Tamandua tetradactyla: one gene and its partners. The protein of the gene in region 1 purifies or fractionates together with the protein of each later gene. This does not show direct contact. Links are inferred from orthologs where the notes say so. Each region holds a gene or a part of one and is shown in the gene's direction. Other genes may lie near its edges. The genes, in order: G3BP1, MKI67, ATXN2L and PABPC4.

Evidence for each region.
Region 2: the proteins of G3BP1 (region 1) and MKI67 purify together in Homo sapiens (affinity purification with mass spectrometry; 3 studies listed by BioGRID and IntAct, with this or other methods). This does not show direct contact. The link is inferred for Tamandua tetradactyla from reciprocal best matches to the Homo sapiens genes G3BP1 and MKI67.
Region 3: the proteins of G3BP1 (region 1) and ATXN2L purify together in Homo sapiens (affinity purification with mass spectrometry; 4 studies listed by BioGRID and IntAct, with this or other methods). This does not show direct contact. The link is inferred for Tamandua tetradactyla from reciprocal best matches to the Homo sapiens genes G3BP1 and ATXN2L.
Region 4: the proteins of G3BP1 (region 1) and PABPC4 purify together in Homo sapiens (affinity purification with mass spectrometry; 4 studies listed by BioGRID and IntAct, with this or other methods). This does not show direct contact. The link is inferred for Tamandua tetradactyla from reciprocal best matches to the Homo sapiens genes G3BP1 and PABPC4.

The regions. Positions count from the first base shown.
Region 1 is NC_135346.1:32,603,271-32,610,795, forward strand, and holds the start of G3BP1 (ras GTPase-activating protein-binding protein 1), read left to right. Parts: upstream 1-4,512; 5' UTR 4,513-4,687; coding exon 4,688-4,894; intron 4,895-7,525. UniProt on the Homo sapiens protein: Protein involved in various processes, such as stress granule formation and innate immunity. Plays an essential role in stress granule formation.
Region 2 is NC_135339.1:90,698,006-90,705,971, reverse strand, and holds the start of MKI67 (proliferation marker protein Ki-67), read left to right. Parts: upstream 1-4,959; 5' UTR 4,960-5,072; intron 5,073-5,646; 5' UTR 5,647-5,743; coding exon 5,744-5,835; intron 5,836-7,966. UniProt on the Homo sapiens protein: Protein that associates with the surface of mitotic chromosomes and acts both as a chromosome repellent during early mitosis and chromosome attractant during late mitosis.
Region 3 is NC_135349.1:25,006,727-25,014,634, forward strand, and holds the start of ATXN2L (ataxin-2-like protein), read left to right. Parts: upstream 1-4,907; 5' UTR 4,908-5,165; coding exon 5,166-5,455; intron 5,456-6,054; exon of another isoform or gene 6,055-6,074; intron 6,075-6,094; exon of another isoform or gene 6,095-6,157; coding exon of another isoform or gene 6,158-6,216; exon of another isoform or gene 6,217-6,220; intron 6,221-6,309; exon of another isoform or gene 6,310-6,489; intron 6,490-6,506; exon of another isoform or gene 6,507-6,562; coding exon of another isoform or gene 6,563-6,585; intron 6,586-6,980; coding exon 6,981-7,017; intron 7,018-7,192; coding exon 7,193-7,249; intron 7,250-7,330; coding exon 7,331-7,402; intron 7,403-7,731; coding exon 7,732-7,882; intron 7,883-7,908. UniProt on the Homo sapiens protein: Involved in the regulation of stress granule and P-body formation.
Region 4 is NC_135328.1:185,798,835-185,806,205, forward strand, and holds the start of PABPC4 (polyadenylate-binding protein 4), read left to right. Parts: upstream 1-4,484; 5' UTR 4,485-4,574; coding exon of another isoform or gene 4,575-4,621; 5' UTR 4,622-4,913; coding exon 4,914-5,106; intron 5,107-7,371. Other genes in the region: uncharacterized protein LOC143658260, read right to left, coding at 3,599-3,965, 4,068-4,484, 4,575-4,621.

The DNA.
Region 1 (7,525 bases):
AGTTTGGTATGGGTTACAATTCCACAATTTTAGGTTTTTACTGTTAGCTGCTCTAAGGTACTGGAGGCTGAAACAAGTATAATGATTCAGCACTCATACTCATTTGTTAAACCTGACCTTCTCTGTATAACTCCACCATCACCTTTGATCTTTTTTCCACTCTTTAGGGATATTTGGGCTATACCCATTCTAACTTTTTCATGTTGAAAGGGCTATCAATAATATGAGATAGGGGAATGGAACTAGTTGATGTTCTGGAAAGGCTGGCCCCTCTGTATTTCAGGACTTATCTGGTCCAGGGACCCATTTGGAGGTTGTAGGTTTTGGAAGGTTACCCTAGTGCGTGGAACCTTTGTAGAATCTTATGAAATGCCCTAGGTATTCTTTAGGATTGGCAGGAATGGTTTTGATTGGGGTTTGGCAAGTTATGAAAGGTAGCAATGTTTAACTGAAGCTTGTGTAAGAGTGACTACCAAAGTAGCCTCTCAACTCTATTTGAACTCTCAGCCACTGATACCTTATTTTTTCCCCTTTTGTCAGGACAGCATTGTTGATTGCACGGTGCCAGGGCCAGGCTCATCCCTGGGGATCATCCACCCCTAGATGTCATGTCCCCCATAGGGGGGAGGGTAATGGTTTCACTTGCACAATTGGGCTTAAAGAGAGAAAGGCCACATCTGAGCAACAAAAGAGGGCCTCTGGACGTGGCTCTTAGGTATACTGATAGGTAGGCTAAGCTTCTCTGCTATATACATAAGCTTCACAAGAGCAAGCCTCAAGATGAAGGACTTGCCCTTTTGATTTGGTCTCAGCCTGTTTTCGTACTTCAGAAATGGGAAATAGGGCTGTTGTGAAGATTAAATGAGATCATCTTTGTAAAGAATATCAACGAAGTGCCAGGCTCATGATGTGTGCTCCATAGGATTTGAGGAAGTGAAGCCTTTGCAGACAGTGCCAAAGGAGGAAGTAATCCAGTTAGGCATGTATTTCCAAGTTAATAAGGATCTGTTTGGATCTTGGTATGATTTTTTGTACAATAAGGAGTGGAAAAAAAAGAATTCAGTGAGTGGAGGAAGGAAGCCTCATTTTCAAAACCCTCAAAACCTACAAAGGTAAGTGTGGCATTCCACCTGGTTGGTTTGTTTTAAAGATCAAAGTTTCCATATTTGCAGTTCCTTGTGCCAGTATTAAATTTTTTTAAAATACATGCACATGGTAAAACAAACAAACAAACAAACAAAACTTTACTGTACCAAAGTTTATAGAATGGAAAGGAAGAGTTTCTTCTTTCCTGGCCCAAGTTTACCTCCCTATTAGCAATTAGTAACAGTTTCTCGAGACTCCTTTCGGACATAACCTATGCAGACACAGCAAAATCAAAGAAATAAATAACTATAGCAACACTGTGTATCAAAAGAAATAATCACCTCATAGCTACTCTTCCATTTTTACACAAATGTTTTTTTCTATATTTCTTCTATATTTTGCTCTCTTCATGTGTTGATTTCTCTTAGAGATCATTCTATAACCATACATATAGGTATATCTTGTTTTCTGTGTGGCTGCCTAACAGTCCATTGTAAGAGTGTACTGTGTTGTATTATATCTATACCAATCTCATATTGCTAGAGATGTGGACTGTTTCCTCTTTCTACTAGAAACAGTGTTGCAATGAATATTATTATACTGGGTTCTTACCCACAGGTGAGAGTTTAACAGTTAAGACTCATACATGCACACATTTGCTTTAATGCAATTTTATTGAGATAAAGTCACAGACCATAGATGCCATCAGCACACACTTTTTTTTTCATGAGGCAGGCACCGGGAAATGAACGCACACACGTTTTTCATAAGGCTTAGCAAACTATTAGCTATGTTTGCGAAACACTGATCCAGATGATGTTTTAAGGGCCATTCTTTAATATTTCTCACACCCTTCCACTTCTTCCATCAGACTAAGTTTTCTGGGTCTTAGCATGCTTCCACTCCCTCTGATTTTCAGAGCTTTGGGGAGGACTGGCAGAAAGAGAAGAGTGAGGTAGTATATTGGAGGGGATTGTAGAATTTGCTTGGCAATGGAGATCAAGAGCAGAAGGACGCTTGGGACTTTTCCTTAGAGAACTTAAATTAATCTCCTAGAGGAGAGTTTCTCAACCTTGAGCTTTATCCAGTAGATGCCAGACTGTAAATTTTTGCCAATTTGGGCTCACTAGAGTTTCAGTTTGGAGTGTCATCTTTGTAAAATGCAAATCTTAGCCCACTTTAAAAAATCCTCCAGGGGCTCTCCACTGCCCTCAGAATAAAGTCCGGATTCCTTACTATGAGCTACATGATCTTAGAGGTTCCTTAGCTCAGAAAATTTCAGCCACTTCTTTCCTCTAGGCTGATTTCCCTCCTCTGCCAGCCAGTTCCTCCGTCTTGGGATCTCCTGCCCCAAACGCAGAGCCCCAGTCTGCTGAATGGGTGAGGTTAAGCAGGGACAACGACTTGATCATTCCTGACCCCCAGTCCATGCCGCTCAATAAATGCTGGATGAGCGAGGCTGATACGGGAGCGGAACCTTGGAGGACCAGATGTGGGACCACAACCCCCAAGAAGGTGCTCTTTCTATCTCTCCTGTGGCCTCCCCGCGTCTCCAGTCTTCGCGGCCAGGCTTGGCCTCGGGAGGTCCAAAGAGGACAGGGCCAGTCACGCTAGGCTGCTTGCTGCGGGCGCCCCTTTTTCCTTCCAGCCCGGGCTGGGCCGGCCCAGCTCAGTCTTCTCTCCTCCCACAGAGACGACGCTCAACTTACTTCACTTCCAACTTTCTTAGTAAAACTTAACGGGAGACCCTTCTGGATGGGCACAAGGCTGAAATGAGAAATTACTGGGGCGTGTCTGCGCTTTGGAACTCAACAAATGTCCACATAAAACGCTCATGGTGACCAAGAGAGGGCACAACAAAATGGTAAGAGACCGGGGCAGAACCTGGCTGGGGCGTCACTTGGCCCCTTAAGTATTTCGGAAAATCTTTGGAATGTCCATCTAGGAGTCTGACAATTTAACTTTTAAAGGAGCCACGACACGAAGAAAACAGCAAAATTTCCTCCCGCCCCCCACCCCCGCCTCCCTGCAATTAAAAGAGGAATGACAATGGCGGTGACGCACAGGATGTTGCATCAAGGTCCAAACTTGATCCGAGCATTTGCAAACTACCGTTCCTCCGCAACGACAAAAAGGGAAAATCTGATTAAAACACCCACGAGCCTCTGATTGGGCAGGCCAACAGCAGCACTTGCCAAGAGGCAACGGGGTAGAAATCTGTGCTCTCAAACTTAACAGTTTCACACGTCACCTTTTTGTATTACCTTACAGACACAACAGGAGTTACTTACTTCTTGTTTCCCTGTAACTGTTGCCCAACAATTATGTCGACTAACTATAAGAGCCAGCGAGGATCCTCAGGGTGTTGCATGGAAATAAAAGACAGTTGCAATAAAAAGGAGAAAAAATACCTAACCGGAAACTTTACCACTTTGTTCCTCTGGTATCAAGCTATGCGCAAAGGGTGGGAGCGGAAGCCTCGGGGGCCGGACCATGCAATGAGAAAGAAAGACCCGAAGCCCGAGCCAGGAAAGGATTACAACCGCCCTGCGCCGCACACGGGCCCTAGGGCTTGGTCGCCTTGGTCGCCTTGGAGCAGTCCAAGCCCCGCGTCAATCAGCTCCTTTCCGCATTGCGATTGGCCGGGGGTCTCCCTTGGACGCCCCAGCGCCCACCATCTAGTTGCTTGGGGTTTACTTCCCCAAAGTACACGGGCTCCACCTTGTGGAGCAACCGCTCCTGCCTGGAAAACGGATCTCCGCCCTGAGGAAGATGTTTTAACGAATGAGAGTAGTTCCCTGCACTTATTGGTTACTATGGGTATCGGTCAAATAACTTCCGCCCCCCTTTCCACTGTACCTTTTAGTTATTGGTTTCTCTTAGTGCCAATCCGTTACTAGGGAAACCGGATCCTCACAGCCTTATAGGCCAGTGTCAAAGCCAATCAAGAATCACGCCTTCACCTTGAGTCAGTACCCAATTGTGGTTCGAAGAGACCAGAGGACGCATTAGGGATTGGTCATCGGCTCGCCCGAGCTGGCCGCAACAAGTTAGGGTGAGTCGTGCTTATATAGACCGGCGGCGGAGCACGCGTGTGTGCGGACGCAGTTGCGTGAGAGATTTCTTGCCATCCGCCCTGCTGTGGAGCAAAGCTTGTTCCTCTCCCACTTAGCCGCACAGGTACACCGGGGTTTGGGCGGGGCTGGGCCGCCCGAGGATGAGGACGGGTCGGGGCCGTGTGAAAGGGAGCAGCGCTAGTGGCACTTACGGCGGCCGCGCGGGGCGCGTCCCCCAACCCCCACCCCAACGGCCGCAGGCACGCGAGGCGATCGGACGGGCGCGCGGCCTTTCCCCGCCCCGCTCCCGCGCCTGGCGCGCGGGGCCGCGTCCGCCGCGTGCGCGTGCCGCGTCCAACGGCCACGCGAGGCGGGAGCGAGCAGCAGTCGCCGCCCGGGCCTGGGGCCATCTCCGGGGTCCTTGGGGCCCCGCGCGGCCCCGTGGCCTGGCCCAGGAGGGAACTTTTCTTCAGAGGTGGGGGCGACGCTGAGTGCGATAACCTGCGAGGCAGAAGTGCCGCTGCGCCTTGGTTTTACAAGGAGTAATGAGGGAGCAGCCGCGTGTATGGATAGCGCTAACAACACCGAGAATTCTTTGTACCCCTCGCTGTGTGCCGGGCACTGTTCTAAGCAGGTCGTATACATTTCGTGTAACTCTCACAACGACCCAAGAGGTAGATACAGTTATTTCCCGCAATTTACGGTGGACTCTGAGACGCAGAAGTAGACGGACATGGTCAGAGATACGGACGGTAAGGGACAGCTATTTTTTTGAATCCAAGCTGTCTCACTCCTAGTCTTGAGCTCATTTTGTTCTTTGCTCTAATACTCTTTGCGGTCCCAGGTCACCTTTGCACCCAGAACACTGGTCACTGGATGCAACCGCAGCTTGGAAAGGCCAACTGCCGAGAAGACTGCGGCGGCATTTGCACTAAGGCCACATAATGGCTTTCAGGAAGACAGACAAGGGCTGGAAGTGGGATTATGACAAAGAAAAGGGGTCTGGGCTTCCTTTCTACGTGTGTTTGTGTAGATAGTTTATAGCTGTGCTGTCCTAACAGCTTCTGGAAAGTGTAGGAAAAAGTGAATTAATGCAAATCAAGGTGGACTATGTTACTAGTCAGGTATCAAACTCAACGTGGTAATGGGAAATTCCCGCCAGCAGAAAGTTAGAATCTGCTAAGCAGAACACGAATTTTTTTTCTTTTTCTTTTTTTAAATCGGAGCAAACTTTTGAGAAAGACCTTTGAGAAGATAGTTTAACTTCCTTGTTTTAAAGTTGAAGAAAATGACGTTTAGACCAGTGAGTTTCAGATTTCACCAACATGTGTGGGTTAAGATTTGAAATAGGAATGGAAAGAACGACTCCCAGTTACAGGATAAATTTGAGCTGGATGGAGTTTAAAATACTGAGTGAATTACCGGTGATTGCGATGTGCTGGAAGTCATACCCTTGTGGCAGTTGGAATCTTGCTTGCCTATATTCAATTCAGCATTTAGCATTTACCCTGCTGGGCTCTCACATATGCAGCAGAGTGGAAGGCACCTACCTGCCTTGCCTTTAAGGAAATGTGTTTATATTTTTCTTGTAGAATTAATTGTATTAGATTTTTTTTGAAGCCAGTATACTCCTTGGCTAATGAAATAATAAATGTTCCTAAGTTTCAAGTCCACATCGTTACTTTGCATTATAAATGCCTCTGCTTGAGACAGAACTATAGTAAAGTTTTTAGGACTCTCTTTTGAACTAGGCTTGAATTGAATAGCTTTCAAACTGTTCTCTTTTTATCTCTTCCTTTGTTTTCTTTCTATCTACCTCTTTCTCTCAAGAAATTTATCTATCCTGCTATGTTTGACCAGATACATTTAAGATTGGTGTTTTAAATAAATGGTTTTTGCAGTCAGAGGGAACACATAGTGTTGCATATCCTTGTAAATAAATTAAAAACAAGGAGGAAGTTTAATAAATGTCTCTCTGGAAATTGATACTACTGTTTCCCATGTTTCTTAGTAGAAACTAGCAATAGATAAAGGATCAAAGTATACAGGCAAGATCTTGCCTTTAGTTGATGTTGCCACAAATAACAGTTTGCTTTGAAATATAACATTGTTCTACGTCGCATGATTTTATGTAGCAATTCCTGTGACCTACATTTAGAGAATAGTTAACTACAAAATTAGTATTTTAAGACATGTTAAGATGTGAAATTTAAGTTTTAGTTATCAAATGTTAGAATACTATAATGACCTACATTTAGACTACTTAATTTGAGTCCAACTAATTTTATTAATGCTTGGGATAAAATGACTGAAATTGCCTTATGCATTGAGGGGAATTTTGTTAGTTTCTCCTTTAAATATTAAACGTACTATTCTTGCCCTCAGAGGAATGGTTATTAGTTGAGCAGAAATTTTAAAAATGATATTTTACAAATGGTACCCCAGTTGATCTTTTGTGCATCAATTTATCACGAACAAGTGAATTTTGAAGCAGGTTGTGGTAATACAAGACTTGAGTCTCCCTATTCCCCAAGTCATGTTATTTTTGTTAAGAGTTAAAAAATGTTTTCAAATTTGAGCTCTTGTACTTTTCTAACAAGTAGAAAAATGTAGGCAGGTCTTTGTCCTTTATTTAACCTACACTCAGCTGACAGTCTACTAAGGGAACTTCAAAAGATTTGGTCATGTTGGTAACCTACTTAGCAATTTTTTTTTTTTGTTTACTTGTTTTAGTATTTTGTATAGAAAGCCAAAGGTCAGCATAAAAAGCAGAGATTAGCTTTCACTTTTTATAGGTTTGGGAATTATATATAGTTCTTAGAGGATACTTGGGAGCCAATGTTAAAAGATGAAATTTAATATAAAGCATGAGTTTGTGGCTTGTGTGTGTGCGCGCTAGTTTTACAAAACTGCTTATCTGGTGTTTTCCTTACTTTTTATAATTAGGTTGGTTTTTAAAAAATAGTGTTTAGGAGTTCAAATATGCGTTGTGTGTTCATTTAATTATGTGTGGTTTAAGGCTACCTAGGACCAAAATTCCTACTGACTTGTCTTGAAACCTTACAAAAGGGCATCACTGTCAAAAGTAGGTAGATTAAAAAAAAAAAAAAAAAAACCCAACTGCTGTACTCCTCCTTCCAGGCCTGGAGTTAAATTTAGATTTTGCAACTGTAACCTAACTTTTAGTCAGTAATCACATTGGAAGTTAACTAGGTTTATAGTTTTAAATACTCAAAATTCAGTTTGCTGGTTTTTTTTCTTTTAATGCCCTCTTAGATACCCTGTCTGGCCTTGGTTAGAGAAATTTGACTTTTAAACTTGGAGACTGGGTGAAGAGCTAAAAATAATCTGCATGTGAAAACTCAAGAGCAGGCTTTACTAAG
Region 2 (7,966 bases), on another chromosome or scaffold:
GTGGATTATGTCCATTGATACTTTAACTCCATTTGAAGCTAAAACAGAGGAATGTTTAAAGTATTTACTTAATAATTCATTTTATATAATGATGACCCAATTTCATGTCAACCCTAAAAGTGTACTTTTACAAAAAATAACTATATTAACCAACATCCTAGAAAAACTAGTGAGAAGAGGGGCATTATTTTCCATTCTTGCAAATCTCTTTAGAAGACACCTGGATTCTCCCATCTGCACCTGCGTTTGGGGAACTCCACTGTACGCATGTGCGAGAATGAGAGCGAAGCAGGCAAACAATGTCTAGTGTTATTAGGAACATGGTGTTGAACTCTTTGCCCCCCCCCACCCCCCGCAAAAGGATATGGGAGACCCTTAGGCCCCCGCCACACACATGGAGAACCACCGCTCCTGAGCAACAAAAACTCAGCTCCAAGGAGTGTGGATGAGAGGGAGGAAGGCGATGGATAGGGTGGTGTTCTAGTCTGCTAGCTGCTGGAATGCAATAAACCAGAAACGGGATGGCTTTTAAAAAGGGGAATTTAATCAGTTGCTAGTTTACAGTTCTAAGGGTGAGAAAATGCCCCAATTAAAAAAACAAGTCTATAGAAATGTCCAATCTAAGGCATCCAGGGAAAGATACCTTCTTTCAAGAAGGCCGATGAAGTTCAGGGTTTCTCTCTCAAGTGAGAAGGCACATGGCGAACACAGTCAGAGTTTCTCTCTCATCTGGAAAGGCACATGGTGAACATGGTCAGGGTTCCTCTCTCAAGTGAGAAGGCACATGGCGAACCTGGCATCATCTGCTAGCTTCTTCTCCTGGCTTCCTGTTTCATGAAGCTCCCCCGGAGACACTTTCCTTTTTCATCTTCAAAGGTCACTGCCTGGTGGACTCTGCTTCTTGTGGCTACGTCGTTCTGCTCTGCTCTCTCCAAATCCTTTATTCTCCAAAATGTTTCCTCTTTTATAGGATTTCAGAGACTAATCAAGACCCACCCAAAAGGGTGGAGACATGTCTTCACCTAATCCAGTTTAACAGCCACTCTCGATTCCATCACATCTCCAGGGAGATGATCTAATTACAGTTTCAAACATACAATGCTGAATAGGGATTAGAAGAAATGGCTGCCTTTACAAAATGGGATTAGGATTAAATCATGGTTTTTCTAGGGGACACACATCTTTCAAATCAGCAGAGCTGGGCATTGCCGGGGACATGTTCGGGCTCCATCAGGACCACACCATGCTGGCCCACTTGGTCAGCCCCAGGGAGCAATCCTGGGCCACCCACTCCTTCCCCAGTCCCCCTGCGCCAGCCTTAACCTGAGATAGACAGGCCCTTTCACCCACTCTGCTGGGTAGCTTCTTAGTGCCCCATTCCCAGGCTATGACCTTCTGCACCCAGGGGGTTGGGCCATTGGAAATCACCTGTGGGCTGAGTCAGGTGGAGGTACTTAGTCCCCATAATGTCACCTGTGGGATGTGGTGGGTGGTCCTCCCCAGCAGTCAATTTCATTAACTCCCCACTTCACCCTTCAGGCCTGGGCTGGGGGTGGGGAGGGGCTTCTCACGCCAGGCCCCGCACAGTCCCTTGTGGGCGTCCTTCCCGCTGTGGCGGGCCGCTGTTCCCCCCGGGGCTGGCCGGTATGCCCACCTGGACCACACCCAGAAAGGAAGCCACCAGGCTGCCCCCACAGTCTCTGAAGAAAACAACAAAAAAGACAGGAGTGACTCTGGGGCAGGAAGGGATAACATGAGCCAAGGGCCTCAGAAAGATAAAAAGCAGTGTGTTCATCTAGGAAGTCTGTTATTTTGAAGAAACAAACTCATATGATTTTTAAAATCAGAGCTCAATTTAGTCTGTGCAATTTTTTGAGTTAATGAAAAAATTTTAAAAAGCACAGTAGGAAAATATTATGCACAATGTGAAAATTATGAACAAAACTGTATGCGTAAAGAAAACACCTCAAAATACTAAGGAATTTTATTCTGCTTTCCCCTGTTGCCTTCAAGGTGTGTCTTTCATTCTCACAGGTAAAGACAGCATAAATGTAAACGTAAAACTATATACATAAGCATGTTACTGAATGTTGAACCTCTCTCCATCCTTACAAAGCTCTCCCTGGACGGCCAGCTTCCTCTAGCAAGTGCCTCATTGACCTTCACAGCTAAACTCCCGGGAAGAAGTGTTCTCATTCCCCTCCCGTTCTCCCAGGAGTCCCCTCCAACCAGTTCCCACCATGCCACTTTCATGTCATGGTCACCAGTGGCCTCCAATTGACAAAGCCAAAGGTCGCGTCTCCGTCGCATGTCACCCAGCACCTCAGCAGCATGGCATTTTTTGTCCCTCCTACCTCTTCTCTGAAGCACAAGCTCTCCTGGTTTTCCTCCTGTCTCACTGGTTGCTCGTTCTCAGCCTCCTTTGCTGAATCCTGCTCTCTCCCTGCAGCCAGAGGGCACCCAGGCTCCAACCCTGAACCCTTTGCTTACTAGCACTCTAGTAAACCCATAACTCAATCCTGGGCCCATGAATTCCAGGCACATATATCCAACTGCTGGGGCTCAAACGCAAACTGAACTCATGATTATTTCACACTCAAATACATACACACACACACAAGACATGAAAAACACAACCGAAAACCCTCCCTAGGTTGACCCTTTGAGTAAACAAAACTGCCACCCACCCAGTTGCTCAAGCCAAAACTCTTGAGCAGTATCCCTGACTCCCCCCCCCCCCCCCCCCCCCCCCCCCGGCTCATTTGATTCCTCAGCAAATCCTGCCACTTCTCCTTTCACTTCAGATCCAACAACCCGCCCTTCTCACCACCCACCCTGGACTCCTGCAGGGGTCTCCCAATTGGTCTCTGCCTGCTTCTCACCTCTACCATCTGGTTTTTCTGCAAAAGGCAGAGGTACCTTTTACAATGTAATTCAGAGAGGTTATTTTTATAATCTTGGAATGGGCAGGCCTCTCCTAAGCAGGACACAATAACATTTAAGTATAACAATTTTTAAAGGACTATTAATTGAACCAAAAGCAAATGCCAACAGAGAAAGAAAATTACAGTACATGTGAGAGTTAATTTCCTTAAGAAAAACTTAAGTAAAAAGATAGACAAAAATAAGAGAAAATGGAAAATAGAACATATAAGTAAAACAAATATAGTGGATACTGCAGTCAGCAAATAATGCTTCTCCCATTCCCAAAACTGCCCACATCTATCCCAGGAATCTGTGACTGTGTTATGTCACATGGCAACAGCGAATTAAGGTTGCAGATAGAATTAAGTTTTAATCAGCTGACCTTGAGGGGAAACTCCAGCGGATCCCATGTGATCACGTGGGTCCTTGTAAGTGAAAGAGGAGAGAGAGTCAGCATGATTTAGGAGAAAGACCCGCAGCCCCAGGTTTTAGAGATGAGAGGCTTGCAGGAGCCCAGGAAAGCAACCGGAAATGCTGGACTCCCTTCTCGAGCCTCCATGAGACATGCAGCAGTCCACCTCGATTTTAGCCCAGTAAAGACTCGTTCAGACGTCTGACCTCCAGGACTGGAAGATAATAAATTCGTGTTCTTGTAAGGCTCTACATTGTGGTCATTAGTTTCAGCAGCTGCAGGAAACGAATACTGACACCAACATCTCATTCACCAAAAAAAAAAAGACGTGAAACCAAACAGCTCATCTTTTTTTTGTTCGTTTTTTTGCCTCTTAGATTGACATCAATTAAATAATAATGATCGTCATCAATATACTTGAGCTGGTCTGTAGGGAAAACAACACTCTGGCACCTTACTGGGGAAAGAAGATACTAGCTCAAACTTTTTAGAAAGAAGTTTGGTCATAAACGTAACAATTTTACATATGCATGTCTTCTGACCCAACAGATTTGTTGATAGGAGTTTGCCTTCCTGTATTCAGCAAAGCCTGCCAGCATGCACTGGTTTTTTTTAAAGGGGCTTTATGGAGATGTAACTGATGTACAATAAACTTCACATATTTAAAATGTGAAATCTGGTTAGGCTGAACACATCTGTGAAAACCATCCCTGCAATGAAAAGTGTGAACATATATATCCATTGCCCTCAAAAGTTTACTCAGCCCTCTTTATACTTCCCCCTCCTTTCTCTCCACCATCCCCTTTACCCCCAAAGGACTATAGATCTGCTTTGTTACGATAGACTAGTTTGCCTTTTCTACAGTTTTATATAAATGGGATCAGTCAGCATGGATTTGTTTTCCACTCGGCATAATTATTTTAAGATTCATCCAGTGGTCACGTAAGATTTTCTAATTGTAAAATTGTTTCTAGTAGCAAAGCTTTATAAACCGAAATAGCAATGGCACGATCAAGTAAATTAAGCAAATGGTGTGCAGGCGTCAAAATGAAAGTAGAAGCCGAGTTTATGCTGACAGGAGCTGACCTCAGGATTCATTAGCGGAGAACACTACAGAATAATGTGTATATGCTCTTTTGTGTAATGTTGAAAAAGAGACTACATGCTGGGAAAATACACAAGAATCTGCGGGAAATAACTGGTTCTCTTCCGGGAGAGGCAGGGACCGGCGAGGGAAGCTGGACTTCAACATTTTAGCCTTGTAGCAAGGAGGGGCGCCGCGTACGGGCCCTAAAAAAGACGAGGCAGGAAAGTTTATCTCCGCCCTGGGATCAGGCCCCACGTTCGGTGTTTTTAGGTTTTCCTCTACAGGACAAGAATACCACGTTCTCCCCGGACGCTCAACCCCAGGCGGTCGTGAGCATCGGGGTCGCGGGCCCCCCTCGAACTTGGGTTCCCCCACCTCGCCCGGTGCGCTCCTCCCGCCCTTCCGCGTCCCCATTGGCCGGCCCGCGGCCCGCGCCGCCCAATCACAGCGCTTAGCGCCGGAATTCGAATCGCTGTTTGGATTTGAACGACAGGAAGCGCGGCTCTCGGGGTAGTGGCGCGCGGGCGCGCGGAGGGATCCGGCCGCGGAGCCGGGGTGCGGCGCTTTGTGGCGCGAGCGGGCTGCGGCTGGGGCTCCGGGCGGACTCGGCGGTGACGGGCCCGGAGGAGCGGGCCGCGGTCGGTCTAGGTGAGCCGGCCCGGGGGCCTCGAGGCGGGGTTCGTGGCGCGGCGTCTCTGGTGCCATTGGCTCCTGGGTCCCGGGTGGGCCCCGGTGAAGGCGAGGGGCTCGGGCGCTCTCGGAGGGTGTTGACTGGGTGGGCGATGTGCGGGACGGGGCGACCCAGGGCGGTGCTGGGGGCGCCCTCGGGGGCCAGCGGGCGAGGCTCCCTGAGGGGTAGCAACGTGGGCGCGCACTCTGGGGCCGGTGGGCGAAGTCGCCTTTGACGGAGAGCCTGGGCCCACATTCGGGGCCTGGCGGGCGAGGAGCCTTTGGGGGACAGCCTGGGGCTGCGCTCGGGGGACAGCGTGGGGGCGAGGAGCGCGCTGCGGTGGATGGGGGAGGGCAGCGTGAGGGCATTCTCTGGAGGGACAGCCCGGGGGGGCGCCCTCGGGGGTAGGGGGTACAGCCTGGGGGCACCCTCGCGGGTTCGGGCAGCGGGGGCTTTGGTTAACATCCAGGGGCCTCTGATTTGTCTCTTAAAAAGTGACTTCTTAGCAAGCTTGCTTTGAGAGTAACCTTTCCCTCCTTTTGTTTTATTCAGTTTTTGCGGTGAAAGAGTTATTGGTAAATCGTTTTTTGACAAACCTTGTAAAACCTGACGCTCCTGTATGGACCGTGCTCTGCATATAGTTTAGAAAATGAGTCGTTTGTGCCACCTCGTTGTCATCAAAAGGAGCGGGATCGACGGTACCCATTTCCCGCTGCGGCGGGAAACCTGCTTATTTGGAAGGTGAGCTCGGTACTTCCTCTGTTCTTTTAATTTGGCAATTGTTTTTTACCAAATGAGATTTTGAAAATACATTAAGTGTTTTAATTTGGTGAAAGCCTTGAGATGGAGAAGGATAGAGGTTTTCACATTTGGTGCCCTTGACGCAGTCCTGAGAAGGCAGCTGGGTGGTGTGAAGCCCTGACTCGCTGCCCCTGGCTCTCGGGGCACACTTTGGGGTGGAGAAGGAAGGAGCCTCTGTTTGGCTCCTTGTTTTTTTTGGAAAAAAAATGAGCATGGGAAAGTCATGCTGCTTGTATTTTGATAAGTTTTCCTGTAAGGTTGCCTTTTTCTTTTGGTGGCGCTATTAACTGGATTTTCATGCTCAGCTTTCAATGACAGAATTGACAGAATTTCCATTGCTATATGATATCACACGAGTCTACATTTTAAAATTCCTCAGGTAAAGAACTTCTTTTTTTCCTTAAATGTGAAAAAGTAAAAGGTTGCCCTAGAACTGCAGTTTCTCATATCCCCACATCTGGATACAGCCATGTCCAGTCTGGTGGTTGTTGCGGTTAGCTGTCTTACAGACGTCTAAGGTTTTTGCTGTCTTTTAAGTAGGGTTATACTTAATGTCAGATTGTCTCTAAAATACATCTCGCATTTCTGCTTCTCTCAGATGGAACAGAAAGTAGGCATGCAGCCGCTAGTGCCACAGAGATTGGAAACTGCAGGGGGATAATTGTTTAACCTCTCTTCCCAAATCATCCCAGTTCCCAACTGGACCATCACAATAGCCTCTTCACTGCTTTTTCTTGCATCTTTTTCTTCTACAGTCTGTTCTTGGTACTGTAGCCAGTGCAGTTTTTAATTTTAATACGGTTTCCTTGTTGAGAACGGCTCTGAGGCTTCCATTAATGACCAAAATGCACAACACTTTGGAGGTAGTGTAGCTTAACTGTTAAGGGGTTGGGGTGGGGCCCCAGAAATCAGACTGCCAGAGTTAGACAGGGCAAGCTACTTCTCACCTCTTCATTTACCTCAACGTTTGTGAAGAAAGAGATAGTGCTGCCTAATTCGTTAGGTTATGAGGACTGAGAGAGCACGTTACCTAATAAGAATTATTGGTTTTGCAGCCTGTAAGTAGATGCCCATGTATCAGGGACAGTTTATCAGTTCATCAGGGACCATCGGAGTTTATGCCCATCCTATCGAACGGTCACCCTCCCGTGGAGCTCTGTGCTCTGGCCCCTGACTTCCTTCCCATCTTACCTGGTGCTCCCAGCCCATCCCCAGCCACAAGTCAGCATCTCCTTGGGCAAACCAGGCTCACGTTCAGCTTGGTGGTTTGGACAGTATGGACTTTATGCCTAGAATGTTCTCCCTCCCCACCTACGTGAGATTGCTTTCCCGCTTTCAGATAACAGTTTACATGTCGCTTCAGAGAAGCCTTTCGTGAGCACTTCTCTTCCTGCATAGCCACTTTACCAGTGATGAGTGCTTTTGGTCTCTCCCACTCAACAGAATTTCCCAAGGGTGAGGCCTGTCTTGTTAATAATTATGTATTCAGTGCTTGGTGTGGTATCTGGCATCTTGAGATGGTCACTGTTTAGCACTCTGTAAAGTGTTCAGTAGATTTGCATTTGGAATCAGCATGTAACAGTGGTTCTCTAGCAAGGGCAATGTGGGGCTCCGGGAAGCATTTTGCAAGGTCTGAAGACATTTTTCACTGTTGCAGTGGGGGAAGGTGTGCTACTGGGCATCAGGGAGTAGAGGCCAGGGATGCTGCTAAACCACATGGCGTGTGCAGGGCGGCTCCCACAACAAAGATACGTGTGGCCCCAAATGTCCACAGCCCGGAGTTTGAGAAATGGTTGAAAGAGAGTGATTGTTAGCCATTTCCTGCCAAACAAATTCTCAGTCTGTTTTTTGCTGGGATGGTTTTGTATCTAAAAACCAAATTCTGTTCTTTGACTAAAAGTAGCTGTTTACTTTCCATAGCTTCCATTCCCTTCTAAAGATAAAAAAAAAAAAAACCTGAACATTTCAGTCTCAAATGGAAGTAAGTTTAGTTACTATATAGCAATGATGAAATATATTTTTATGTAAGGTTTTGTAATTTAGAAGCCAATTCATAAGTGTCCATCGTATG
Region 3 (7,908 bases), on another chromosome or scaffold:
GTTCTAGGGAGTTTGCAGTTGTGCATTAACTCCTTCAGAGCTGGGTAAGAAACCAGGGAGCGCAGCTTCGATGCCCTATTCTATCTTGCCTCACTTGAAAGTGACTTGAATTGGTTCTACTGCCACCCCCCATCAATGTGGTTATTTTATTCACCTGAAACAAAATCAGGTTCATTTGTTCACATCTGTTTTCAATGTTTGGGGGCCCTCTCATCCTTGTTGATATAATTTTTTAATATGCGTATCATTACCAGAATGTGAAAAGTCAAAACTATATGAAGATAACAAAAATGATTAAAAAAAAAAAACTATATGAAAATCTATACACAAAAAAATGTCTGTCCATCTCAACCGTAGCTCTGCTGTCTCCTTCAACAAGAAGAGTGAAACCCAATAACCAGGGAGTTCCAGTTTTCCCTGCCCTCCATAGGTAACCGATTTTATTAGTTTCTGGTTTATTCCTTTTGTGGTTTTTTGTTGTTGTTTTGCTTTTTTTGAAGATATATTTGTTTCCTTATTTCCCCTTCTTTCTTACACAAAAGTTGACATAGTTTATACTCTTTTGCAGGTTTGCCTTTTTAAAGGATTACCCTTTACAACGTGGAGAATGGAGTGGAGCAGCGATGGGCCTGGGATCTTAATCTAAGTGAGATTTTTTTGTTGTTTATTTTTTTGTTGTTGTTGTTTTGGTTTTTTTGAAGATACATTTGTTTCCTTATTTCCCCTTCTTTCTTACACAAAAGTTAGCATAGTTTATACTCTTTTGCACTTTTTTTTTCACTTAATATATCCTGGAAATCACTCCATAGCAGATCATAGCGATTGAGTTCTTGTTGTTGTTGTTTTTAACATTATTCATTATGAAATACAACATTTATACAAAAAAATACATTTTGAAGTACATTTTATCAAGTAGTTATAGAACATATTTCCAAGTTTGGTATGGGTTACAGTTCCACAATTTCAGGTTTTTCCTTCTAGCTCTTCCAAGACACTGGAGACTGCTTTTTATTAGTCATCCTCATGTGGGAAATCCTAACTTCTCTGTTATAACTCCTTCTTCTGCTTTGATCCTTCTCCCAATCTTTAGGGATATTTGGGTTATGCCCATTCTAATTTTTTCATGTTGGAATGGGTATCAACAATACAGGGTAGGGGGAGGGAACTGGCTGATGTTCTTGGAGAGACTGGCATCTCTGGGTTTCAGGGCTTATCTGATTTAGGAACCAAGCGGTAGAGTTTTTAAATTGCATACAATAAAAGAACATTCCATTTGTTCACCTAACAATTTATTAAGTGGCTGGGTGCCAGCCAGTCTAGGCCAGAGGGATAGAGAAATGAGTGAAATACAGTCCCTGCTCTTCAGGACCTTGGACTCCAAAGGAAAGCAGAGACAGAAAGAAAAGCAACACAGTGCTCTGGGGGCCCAGAGGAGGAAGTAAATAACAGAAAGTTCCAAAGGGTTGACACTGGAGTTTGAAGAATGAGATAGAGAGAGAATCAGGGAGGGAATTCTAGATGAAGAAATAGTGCGTGTAAGTAAAGGTAAGGCATGTTGTGGAAATGGAAATTTAATGGGACTAAAACTTAGAATTTGAATGTGGAGGCAGGACACAGTTGGTAGTGGTGGTGGGAGGCAAGAAGTGTTGAAGTGGTGGTGTGGCACCAGACGGGGGAGGTAAAGCCAGGAAAAAGGTGAAGTCTGTTATTTAGGCACCCGGGAGACATAAGATCTTTAAAATACCACTCTGATTCAGTCCCCTTGCATCAACTGTCTGCATTGTGCTGACACTAGCAGGAAGACAGAATTAAATGAGCTATTAGAGAAAGGGGGGACAAATTGCCCACTGGAAGCTGGCAGTGAGGTAGAGGTGCAGGAAGACTTTCCAAAAAGTAAGGCAGACTTTTGGCTGTGAGACGAGGGGTGAGAAGGAGGTCGGAAGTCGGGAAGAGTTTCAGTGCTAATGCCAGAACAAGGAGAGAGTGGGATGTTGAGAATCTCACTTAGATTAAGATCCCAGGCCCATCACTGCTCCACTCCATTCTCCACGTTGTAAAGGGTAATCCTTTAAAAAGGCAAACCTGATCTCTTTTCATCTTCAAAAAAAGGGCTTCCCATTGCTTTGAGAATAAAGTCCAAATCTTTTAACTAGGTTTAGGGACCTTTACTACTTCGTTCCAACTTCAACCTTTACAATTTACCTACCTCTACTCTCTCTCTCTCTCTTTTTAATACCCTTCTTTCATGTTACGCTCCAACCAGAAGAATTTTCTTAGTTTGCTGCATTCTAGTCCCTCTGCCTAGGAATCCATCTCCCCATCACCTTCTCAGTGTAGATTCACCAGCGCTGAATTGAAAGTCACTGCTATCCACTCTCAAAGTGTCCTATGCATCTCCTACTAAGTTTCATCTAACTAAATTCACAACTAGGTTGAACTTTTTTTTTTACTGAATTTTTAAAATTTATTTCTTTAATGCATTTTTTATTGGAGAAGTTGTAGTTTTCCGGAGTTCCCACATACTTCCCCCTCCAAATATTAACACTTTATTGTGGTATCTTGGTTACAACTGATGAATGAGTATTATCATTGTACTGTTAACCACAGTTCATAGTTTACATTAGGATTCATTGTGTTGTACGGTCCTACATTGTTTTTGTTTGTGGTTTGTTTTTTTGCTGCTGTTTTTATTTTTTTTACACTGTTGTTTTTTCAATGTTATTCTAGCAACGTATACACGACCTCAAAGTTCCCCTTTAAACCACTTTCAATTCTATAATTCAGTGGTGTTCATTACATTCAAAATGTTGTGTTATCATCACCACCATCCATTACCAAATATTTCCATCATCCCAAACTGAAACTACCAATTAAGCATTAATTCCCCATTCCCTGCACCCATCCCAGGCCCTGGTAACCTTTACTCTACTTTTTGACTCTACAAATTTGCTTATTCTTACTTTGTATAAGTGAAATCGTACAATATTCTTTTGGGTTTTTTTCCCTCAACATGACGTCTTCAAGGTTCATCCACACTGCTGCATCTATCAGAACTCCATTCCTTCTCACAGCTGAATAGTATTCCATTGTACATATATATGCAACATTTTGTTTATCTGTTCATTGGTTGTGGAACACCTGCTTTGCTTCCATTTTTTTTTTTTTTTTTTTTTTGCAATTGTGAATAATGCCATTATGAACAGCAGTGTAAAAATATCTGTTTTTTTTCATGGCTTCCAATTCTTTTGGGCATATACCTAGAAGTGGGGTTGCAGGTCATATGGTAATTTTATACTTAAACTTTCTGAGGAGCTGTCAAACTAGTTTCCACAGCAGCTACATCCTTTTACATTCCCACCAACAATGAAGTGTTCTATTTCTCCATATCCTGTCCAATACTTGCTATTTTCCATTTTTTAAAGATAGTAGCCATTCTAGTGGGTATGAAAGGGTATCTCATTGTGGTTTTGATTGCATTTCCCTCATGGCTAATGATATTGAGTACCTTTATGTGCTTTTTGGCCATTTATAGATCTTTTCTGGAGAAATCCCTTTTTACATCTTTTGCCATTTTTGAATTGGATTGTCTTTTCATTGCTGAGTTGCAGGAATTCTTTACATATTCTGGACATTAAACCTTTATTAGATATGTGATTTCCAAATATTGTCTCCCATTGTGTAGGTTGTCTTTTCACTTTATGATGAAATCCTTTGATGCACAAAAGTTTTTAAATGCACAAAAAGTTTTGATGAGGTCTCATTTACCTGTTTTTCTTCTTTTGTTTGTGCTCTGAGTATAAAACTAAGAAACCATTTCCTAAAACTAGGTCCTGAAAATGCTTCCCAAATTTTCACCTGGCAGTTTTATAATTCCAGTTCGTATGTTTAGGTCTTTGATCCATTTTGAGTTACGTTTATGTGTGTGGTGTGAGGCAGGAGTCCACCTTCCTTCTTTTACAATGTGGATTTCCAGCTTTCCCAGCACCATTTGTGGAAGAAACTATTTTTCCCCAATAGAGTGGACTTGGCACCCTTGTCAAAAGTTAATTGGCTATAAACATGAAGTTTGATCTTCTTGAGGGCAGGAAGTGGTTTAATTACCATTGTTTTCAAAGCATGTAGCCTAGTGCCCAATTTTGAATGTATGAATGCTGCCTTCATCATCGAGTCAGTGGGCTGAGCAGAGTTTTGAACTAAACCTTAGGAATTTTGACCTTCATACTCTTTGTTACTGCAGCTTAAGGGTTCGTTCTCAGGCGCGGAGAAACTATTTAGATGTAAAATAATTTAAATTTAAAATAATTCAGGATTAGGCATAAGTTTATCTGCAAATATTAGGACGCTAAAACCGCCTTTAAGTCCCATCAGTCATTCTTTAACGCATAGGATAAGAGCTGCTCATTACGAAATCTACCACCTGCTCGAAAGCCCTATCCCCGCAATTTGTTCAGTCCCGGGAATTCTTTTGCACCTAGGACTCCGCCCACGGCCCCCGCCTCCCAATGTGGCGGAAGAATCTCACGCAACGTGGAGACATCTCACACAACTGCGGAGGCATCACGACCTTACGGAAGCCGGCGTAGGAGGGGCGGCCGGCTCTTCCTTTGCCTCCTCGGCTCCTCCCCCAGCGCTTCACACGCTCATTGTGAAGCGACAGCGGCTACCAGCTTCTAGGGTTGCTTGAGACCTAGAGACCTTAAATCCTTGTCGCGCGTGAGCGTCCGCGCTCTACCTTCCCCACTCCAAGACTAAGGGCGCGAGATTCACCTTATTTTGTCCTCTCCTCTACTCTTCCGCCCGGAGCTAACCGCCCCGGTGCGCGCTGGCATCTCGTGCCGCCGCTCCCTCCCCCCTCCCCTAGGGAGCTCCCGCCCGCGCGCTCCTCCCCTCCCCTTTCCCCAGCGACGCGCACGCGCGCCAGACCGGCTCGCGCCCTCTCGCTTTCCTCCGGCCCGCGAGACCCCCTCCCCTTCCGCCTCGCGGCGCTTGCTCGTACCGCGGTCTTTTCTATCCACCCCCGACACCGCGGGGCTCCCCCTTGCCCGCCAACGGCGGGCCCCCAGTTTCCCGATCCCCCTTCGCTTCCCGCGCTCTCCGGCGGGAGCCTAGCCCCGGCCCCCTCTCTTCCTCCCTTCCCCCGAATTCCCCTTCCGGACGCTGCCATCATGTTGAAGCCTCAGCCGCCACAACAGACTTCCCAGTCCCAGCAGCCGCCCCCCACGCAACAGGCCGTGGCCCGCCGGCCTCCCGGGGGCACCAGCCCTCCCAACGGCGGCGTCCCGGGGCCGCTGGCCTCCAGCTCGGCTCCGCCCGGACCTCCCGCGACGGCTTCCCCCTGCCTGGGGCCTGCAGCCGCTGCCGGGAGCGGGCTCCGCCGGGGAGCCGAGGGCATCTTGACGCCGCAGCCTCCGCAGCATCAAGAGAGATCAGGGGCAACCGCCATCGGCAGCGCCAGGTGAGGAGGGGTGGGTTTCCGGGCGGGGGAGCCGAGGCTGAGGGGAGGAGGCGACGGCTCGGTTCCGGCCGGGCGACAGGGGCCTGAGCACATCCGCATGGGGCGGGCCCCCCATCCTGGCCACCTTTGGGGGCACCCGGGAAGCCCCCGTGAGGCTAGGGGTGGGTCCCCTCAGGTCCTCAAAGGTCGGAGGAAGGGTCCCCAGGCGACCACCAGGCAATTAGGAACCTGGCTGAGCTTTCAGGGCCTGGCCAGGGCTCGGGACCCGAGGCTTTAGGGGAGGCGGGGCGCCCCACGACAGCGCCGTCGGAACCGGGAGATGGGGGGGGTGAAGAGGTGAGCGGGGTCCCCGGCTCCATTAGCACGAAGGGTCTCGCGGTCCCCGACTTCAGCCAATGGGGAGTCAGCTGCAGAAAGGGGTCCCCGGCTGTAGCCAATGGAGGGGGGCGCGCGGCCCACAGTTTGGCCAATGGGGAGGGAGGGACTTGAGAGCGGGTTGCTGCCTCCCCCTTCCCGATCTGGCCAGTAGGAGGGGAGCGGGGTAGGCGGAGGGGGACGGAAGGAGGGACAACTGGGAGGACTGCGGGCCAGGAACCTCCAGCGCGCGCGCGCTCTTGCTGTACGTGCGCGCGGATGCTCTGTCTTATGACCCGGGCATTCGCGTGCCCGGGTTAACATCTTGGACTGGGGCTAGGAGGGTGCATGGAGGAATGCTCCCGGTGTTCGTGGATGGGTACTGGACGCTCCTCTCGGTTTCTCCTGTGTGTATGTGTTTTAATGGCATTGAGAGTGGCGGTACACGCAGGCGCAGTGGGTTCTGACCGCGGGAGGGGGGATTTTGAAGAGGCCTGTGGGTTTTAGTGCGCAGGCGCAGACCGGGCGAGGCCTCCCGGTGGAAGGCTTTTGCGGCTGCGCTGTCCCCCAGCCCCGCCAACGGCCCCCTCTGCGCCCTCAGCCACCGGTTACATCAGCCAGCGAGGAGCAGGGTTGCAGGGTGATTGGTGACCTCACAGAGTTGGTAACAAGCTGAATGGGTAACGAGGTCGAGGGGATAGGGCCTGGAGGGGGGTGCCTTCTTCCCAGGGTTGGGGCAAGAGGCTGCTGAAAATGATGTCTTTTCTGTTTGGGAGGTAATGTGGAACCGGGCACATCCATCTTTTATATATGGGGTGGGTTATTGGTGATCTAATACTGTAGCTTTGTTCAGTTAGGAGCATGCAGCCATCAGCCCGTGGAGAAAGTGAGAAGGTGGTGTTAAATTGGCCCTTCCTCCTAGCAATTAGACGACCATGGTCGATTGAGATCTACTTTACTGGTATTTGCAGGGAATGTGTTTCCTGGCTCTTAAGGCTTGTTCCTCTTTTTCTATGAGGTGAGGTTTGAAAATCTTGATTAATAGCTGTGTAGCCTTAAATCACCTCGTCACAAGGAATTGCTTCTGGGATACCTAGCCCTTTAAAATTAATGGTTTAAGAAGGAATTGATGAGGTTTAAATAACTAATTTTTTGTGTTGTTCTCTTACAGGGGACAGAGTACAGGAAAGGGACCCCCACAATCACCGGTGAGTGCCCTTTTTTCCCAAGATACAAGGGCCTAAAAGACACTTATGTCAGAACATAGGGTAGATTAGATATCAAAATAGTCAGAAGGGCACACGAAGGTGAGTGTGAATGGAGTATTTAGGTGGAATGTGAAATACTTGCCTCTCTTATTTCTTCCTTCTGTGTTACTGACAGGTGTTTGAGGGTGTCTACAACAATTCCAGAATGCTGCATTTCCTTACAGCTGTTGTGGTGAGTACCTAATGCTTAGGTTGAAAAATACTGTGAGTCAGTTTGCTGAAGACACTCTCCTTATTTTTCCTACTTTTCCAGGGTTCCACTTGTGATGTAAAGGTGAAAAACGGTACCACCTATGAAGGTATCTTCAAGACTCTGAGCTCAAAGGTAAGTGTACTCTAACTTATTTCCAGAGTTGTATGGAAGGAAGAAAGTGAAATAGACTCATTGAGGGTGTGAAATTAAGTGGTGTTGGATGACATTATAGCTCTGTTAGCCATTTATCTAGGCCTGTGCCAGGATAGTGTTGCAAGTATAAAAAACAAGATTCTGAACAAATTTGGGGCTTTTGTTAAGTCCTGTGGCTGGTGTTGAGAATATAATACATGTAAAGATGTGATGCGGTTTTGGGAAAATTTGCAAAGAGTAAAAGAAAAACTGTTTTTCTCGTTTCTTGATACTGACCCCTGGGTGTTGGGGAATGGGGCCTTTTGTAGTTTGAACTAGCAGTAGATGCTGTGCACAGGAAAGCATCTGAGCCAGCAGGTGGTCCTCGTCGGGAAGATATCGTGGATACCATGGTGTTTAAGCCAAGTGATGTCATGCTTGTCCACTTCAGAAATGTTGACTTCAATTATGCCACTAAAGGTATGGTGCCACGTCACTACTTCAGA
Region 4 (7,371 bases), on another chromosome or scaffold:
AGGCTTTTTGGTTGCAAGAAACAGAAAGCCACTCAGAGAGGTTCAGGTAAAAGTGGGTGGGATGTTTCTTAGAAGGGTACAGTGATTACTGTAGAAGTGAAATATAGCAAAAATAAGCCAGGCATGTTAGGAAATTTTCTTTATCCTTTTCACTTTCACTCTCTATCTTTCTCTCTTTCTGAGGCCTCAGCTTCAGAGACCTGCATCCATCTCCCTATCAGACCCAAACGTGCCTTTAAGGAATTTTCCTCCTCTTCCCAACCCCAAACACATTCTTTCTTTTGATATGTTCATGTCATCTCTGAAGAACAGAGTTCTTCTGAAAGTAGACTGCCCCAGTGAAAAAAATATTAGCACTCCACCCCCAAAAGCTCTTATTGAAGCTTTACGCCCAATCCCAGCAAAGGTAGATTCGTACTGACCTGCCTAGGCCAGTCACTTTCAGATCACTGGCCTGGTTATTGGTTCAGTCTCTTCCTACCCAACATTGAGCCCTAATCAGGTATTGTTTAATTTTGCAGGTTGGACTCCAGGCTCCTTCTGGTGGCTTTACATATCTCCCCCCTCTAAAACAAAGTGATAATCTTGTGTCAGTTGTAGGAAATGTAAATGTTTTGATTTCCAAGAAATTTAGGGACCTTCCTTGACTCAATCCCTCACCTCCCACATCTAATTAGTTACAATTTTTATTGTCTACTTATTTCTTAAACCAAACCACTTCCGCCCCCCCCCCCCCCCCGCCCCATGGTCATTACCTTAGTCTGCCATCATCTTGCATGTCCCCTTACACCCATCCTCTAAACCGTTTCCATATTGCAACCAGAGATGTTTTCATAAAAATGCAATTCAAATCAAGGCATTTGCTCATCAGTGCCCAGCATTCCTTCATTTATTTGACAAATATTTATTGAAAGCTTAAATAGAGCTTTGTGCCATGTTAGGCACGGTTCTAGGTTTCAGTTCTCACAAAGCTTATATACCAGTGGAGGGAAGACAGGCACTTTAAACAGATACACACACATACACACAATGTAATTTGTGATTTCAGGTAGTAATAAGAGCATTGAAGACAAAGAGACAGGATGGTGTGATAATAATTAACAGTGGCAGACTACCTTAGACTGGGCAGTCTGGGAAGGCTCCCCGGAGGAGGGGACCTATTTATAGGAAGACTTTCCCTCCTGTCTTAGTTTGCCAGGCTGCTAGAACAAATGAGTTGGCTTTGGGAGTTCAAAATCATGCTCTCTCCCCAAAGTCTGTAGCGTTCTGACGCTGGCTTACTTAAGCATTCCTTAGGGTTTCTTGGCTTGCATCTCTGCCTCCCATTACATGGTGATCTCTTTCTTCTGTGTCTGCTTTTCCAGTTTCCACTAACTTGTGGCTTTTTTCTGTGGCCTTCTCTGACTGTGTCTGAATTTCTTCTGCTTATAAAGGACTCCAGTAACAATGATTATGGCCTACCTTGATTATACTAAGCCATACCATAACTAAAAATAACATCTTCGAAGGTCCTGTTTATACACGAGCTCACTCTCCCAGGAATAGGGATTAAGATTAAGAACATGGCTTTCCTTGGGTTACATAATTCAACCTACCACATCTGTCATATTTACTATGGTATCCCCCAGCATTTATAGCTGGCACTGCCATAGAGTATAGTCCCTGATTATTTATTTGAATGAATGAATATATAAATATGTATATTTCTTCATTCATTTACTTAGATCAGTAGTTTTCAGTGAGTTTGCATGCCTTTTGGTAATTTCTGGGTTTGGTTCTCAAAATAATGGAGGAGCCTTTTATCTACCTTATCAACAGATGAGTAAAACATATGGAATAAAAATAAATAGTAGGGGGAACAAATGTTAAAATATATATTAGGCTAAAATGCTAGTGATCAATGAAAGGGAGGGGTAAGGGGTATGGTATGCATTAATTTCTTTCTATTGTCTTTTTATTTCCTTTTCTGAATTGATGCAACTGTTCTAAGAAATGATCATGATGATGAATATGCAACTATGTGATGATATTGAGAATTATTGATTATATATGTAGAATGGAATGATCATAAGTTAAGAATGTTTGCATTTGTTGTAATATATATTTTTTTAATTTAAAAATTAATAAAAAAAATAATGGAGAGTTCCTGGTGTTTAGGGACGAAGGGATGCTATATAGTTTGCTAGGCATGGAGACAGTCCCACATACCATAGAATTGTTTCATATCCCACAACTTTCAAGTGACCTGCCAGATCTCAGGTGGATGAAAACTCTCTTTATAATTACAGGAGCCTAGGCACTAACTCCCTTTTACATGGAAACAGAAGATATTTTTGTGCCTTTAAATAGAAACTAAATTTACAGGAATGCCATTACCATGTAAATAGAGGGATAATCATATTTTGTTTTATTGAAGCTTTACCAAAATCTGTTAATCTTTTCAGCAAATCACACTACCCACAGAAACCACTGCATTTCTAGCTGCCACATTCTGGACGATTCTATCTTTAAGTCCCAGATTCTGAGAATTTCCATATGTCTTCTTGAGTATGGGGCCCCAAATATTTATATACTGAGCCACTTATTATTTATTTGGAAATTATTTTACCTCTTTTTTTTTTTAACTTTTTTTTTTAGGTGCATGGTCCGGGAATTGAACCCGGGTCTCCCGCATGGAAAGCGAGCATTCTGCCACTGAACCACCCATGCACCCTTAAGTCTTTTTCAGTAAATCATTTTATTTCATCTTTATTTTCCAATTAGGCATTACATTTTTTTGGTCATTTCTAGCTTTTTAAAATTATTAGAGCAGTTGTAGGTTTACAGAAAAAAAAATCAAGCAGAAAGTACAGAGTTCCCATAAACTCCACTCCCACAGTTTTCCTATTATTAACATTTTGCATTATTGTGGTAGCTTTGTTACAATTGATGAAAAAAATTATTATACTATTGCCCATAGTCCATAGTTTATCTTTGGTTTCAGGTTCACTCTTCGTGTTGTCCTTTTTTTTTTCCTGCATGCTGTAAGGCGGGGGTCACATTTCATTCTTTTTCCACGTGACTATCCTGTTATGGCGGCACCATTTGTTGAATTTTTTGTTTGTTTTTGTTGGTTTCTTTGTTTGTTTGGGAAGTGCATGGGCGGGGAATCGAACCGGGTCTCCCGACATGGCAGGTGAGAGTCTACCACCGAACTATGCTCGCACCCCTGCACTGTTATTATTTTTTTTCTAAAATTTTATTCTAGTAACATATATACAACCAAAAATTTCCCATTTATCCACTTTCAATTATACAAGTCGACGGTATTAATTACATTCACAACTTGTGCCATTTTCGCCATCCATTACCAAAACTTTGCCATCACCCCAAACAGAAACTCCAAGCCAATCAAGCATCAATTCCCTATTCCCCACTCCCTCCCAGCCCCTGGTAACGTGTATTCTAGTTTCTTAATGTTATGAATTTGCATAGTCTAATTATTTCAAATAAGTAATATCATACAGTATTCATCCTTTACATTGATTTTTTAATTTTATGCGTGTGGGTGGGTTATATTATCTAAGGGTTATATTATCTAATCACCATTCCCGGGTGATTAAAGGGGGTGGGGGGATTGTAATATATTTATTATGCAAAGGAGTCCTTGGGTCTGGTGAAAGCCCGGACCAGGATACCTGAGGTCCACTCTGCCTGGAGCCCGGAATGGAGCGGCCAGCGGCAGCGCGGTCCTCCCACCGCCAGGTGTCGCTGTGGTGCCGCGCAGACGCGCCGGGTCGCTCTCGCGTGACCGTCCCGCCTCGGGTACCCGGGCCGAGTGGGCGGGCACGGCTGCGCCCAGGTCGCGAGGCGCCCTTCGACCAGCAGCGCCCGGGGCGGGCGGGTATAAATGGAGCGGTGGCTCCCCCACCCGCCTCTCTCCGCCCCGGGTCGCCGCTGCCTTCGCCGCTTTCAGGCCCAGCAGCCTGAAGAAAAAAAGAGAAAAAGATTAAAAAGAAAAAAAAAAACGAAAACGCTTTAAAATCTTAAAAAAAAACGTCAAAAAAACCGAATCCTTCTCGGAGAACCTGCGAGGAGTCACTTTTGCACGCTTCCGGCCTGCCCCGCGCCCGCCGCCGCCGGAATCTCGCGTCCGTCTCCGTCTGTCGGTCCGGTGGTGAGCCGCCCGTGCCTGCCCGCCTGGGCCTGTGCGCTCCCCGCCGCGGGCCCGCCCTCCTCCACGCGTCTCCACTGTGAGCCTCGCGCGTCCGTCTGTCCGGCCCGCCGCGCGTCCCTCCCTGTCCGCACGCGCCGCGTGGCAGCCTCGGTGCTCGTCGGCTCCGCGGCGCGTCCTGCTGCCCCTCGCTTCCTGCGGGCCGGCCTCCCGGCGCACCACGTGTCGGCGCTGCCCTTCCCCGAGCCCGGCGTGGGAGGCGGCTGCGCGCAGCGTCCGCCTGGGGCTTGCGGAGTCGCACGGACGAATATTTTGTTTCCCTCTTCCCTGGCTGTTGTAATTTTAAACCGCCAGGACCCCGAGGCCTATATTTATAGAGAAACGCGTGTCCCGAAGGCCGCTGTGGGCAGCGTTTGATTGCCTCTTGGAGAATTTGTGTTTAACTCGGAAGGAGATTCCCGTCGTCATATTTTTTGAAATTTGTAGGTTCAAACCAGGACAGCTGAAAATTCCACCATCACCCCACCCCCCCAGGGAGGGCCATATTGTTTTTGAGAGCCTTTTGTCTGAGGTTTTGCAGAGTCTCTCCAACGAGCTTTCCCCAAGCTCCTGTATATCGGAGCCTACTCCAGCTTCTCTTAGCTTAACTTGCCACCTGTGAGCCGCAGCGCAGACTACGGCTCAGAGAAGAGCCTCTTTTGTCTTGTGGCGGTCCGTATAAGAAGTCCTGGCGGGGCTCGGGGTGGTGGGGGGTGGGGAGATGAACGCTGCAGCCAGCAGCTACCCCATGGCCTCCCTGTACGTGGGTGACCTGCACTCGGACGTCACTGAGGCCATGCTTTATGAAAAGTTCAGTCCTGCGGGACCTGTACTGTCCATCCGGGTTTGCCGCGACATGATCACCCGCCGCTCCCTGGGTTATGCGTACGTCAACTTCCAGCAGCCGGCTGACGGTGAGTAGGAGCTCTGTCCACAAAATCTTGGGGTCTACAGAGACCCAGGGAGTTAGCTTCTAGGCACGCCCCACTTCCCAGGAAGGGGTGGGGTGGGGGGAATCCAAACATCATTTTGTGCAGAAGTTGAAGTGGGAGCTGGAGGCAAAGAAAGAGGTGAGAACATGGCACCTGGCATCAGTTTCAATCTTTCTTTCGTACTGGCTGGCTGGGTGACCTTGGGCTAATTAGTGGTGAGGTGGGGTTGGAACCCAAGAAGACTGTAAAGGAGAGCAGAGTGAAGTCACTGTCAGCCCATTGTGTGTGTGTGGTCCTGCTTGAGTGGGCCCTTCAGAGACTTTGTACTAGTCAGTGGACATGGGCTTGTGCCCCTCAGAAGCCTGCCAAAAAGGTAGGATGAATGAAACCCAATTCGCTGCAAAAATTTTAGATTGCAAAATTACTAACCCCTCCCCCACCTTTGCCTTAAGAGTCAGTTTGATTTGATATTGATAAGGGGTCTTTCAGGGCAGATAGGAAGCAGAGGAACAGATCTGTGGATTAAACAGGGACATGTGCTAGCACCACCAGACCCATGTGTTCAGCTGGTAGCCAGGCGAGTTCTCTATCCTGCATGTTTGCCCCAGGGGTGGAGGAATTGTTTGCTGTGGACATGCCCTGGACTGTGGAGAATGTTAGCTAGTTAGGCTGGGGAAGCACCACCTGAAAGTCCACTGGTCTGGTGGCTGGGGCTGGTGGGCATTATCACCTCAGCTGTGAAGAGCATTTTACACTGTGCAAACATCTTTCACTTCATCCTATCCGAAGGGAAATAAGACTCCTTTGAAGAAAAAGGGACTGCAAAAGGTTGGAGGTTCAGTCTACCCCAGATTGTGACTTTAGCCTGGAGCAGTGGAGAGATACGCTGCAGGCGTGGCAGGAGTGAAGCCAAAGGAAACCCAATCAGGGGCTGCATGTGACTCCAGATTAAAAGGGAACAACTGCAGAGCCCTTACTGGGAGAAATAAGCCATTCTATGGCAAGGATCTCCAGCTCCCTACTCTTGTCCCCACTTTGTTCACTCCATAAAGCAAATACAGAGAATGTAACTTTCCTAGGATGCAGCTGAGAGCAGGGAATTGGGCCTGGGTTGAAGTGAGACAAGGCACCGCGTACTGTCAATTCAGTGTACTCAGCTGAGTTCTGTCTCTGGCCACATAAGTACAGAGAAGGTGTCTGAGGGTGTGGCCTTTTTAGGAGGAAGTGGGGGTATATACATTATTTCTTGCCTGCCTTCTTACCTCTTCTGAACAAAAGTGCTGTCACTTGGAGATAGTAGCAGAAGCTTGATCAGTGTTTCTGCCAACACATACCTCTGCAGGACCTCTCCCTGCTATAAATAAGTGCAGCCAGATTTGTCAGACTAAGCTGACTTGCCTTGTTGCAGTGCTATCTGGAAATAGAAGAGTAGTTGGGTCGAAATGGGTGTCTTTACTGCTTATTAGTAAAATACAATTGGGCTTCCCAGTTGTGTATCACAGAAAATTATCACAAGCAAAGTCCTATACCTGGGCTTTTTCTATGGCTCTGTACTGCCATCTTCTCTTCCCCTTCATAACTGAGCAAGCTGCCTTTCTCAGATGTGGGAAAGATTGTTGGAAATAAGTGGGAAAAAAAGATATTCCCTTGACTTGATGTAAAGCTGAGCCTGTGGAGGGGTGGGTAGGGAATTTTGTCTATCTTTTAAGTGAAATGTTCTCGAATGGATGCTTTAAAGTAGGAGAAAGCTCCCCAACTCTGACGCTGTGTGAATCTTCTCATGGAAGTTCTAAGTGATGTTATTGCTTTAGTGAAGTCACTGCCATGAGATAATAGTGTAAGTTTGGAAAAGTGGCACCAGCTCTGGGTGTCCTTGTTGCTGCTGTTGAAGACAAGTATATCCGGCTGCAGATGATTATAATTTAGGTTCTGGTCCTTTAAATGGTGCAAACATTGTCTTGGTTGGGAAGCTGAGAAAAAGTCCCAGGGCACTGGATGGAGAACTGGTTGGGTGAGCACCAGGGCATTGAAATCTTGGAATTACACAGAACTCAGCTTAAGGCTTCAGCACTTTTCAGATGTTCAGGTTCAGAAGACACAGGAACCTACTAGGTGCGGGGCCCACGTGCATCATCACCTTAAGCAGAAACCATCCTTTCAAGGAGTTTCCTCAGTCTATGATAGGGATAATTTTAACTGTCCCACCTGAGCTACTGTGGGTAGGCTGCAAAACCCTTTATAAGTGAT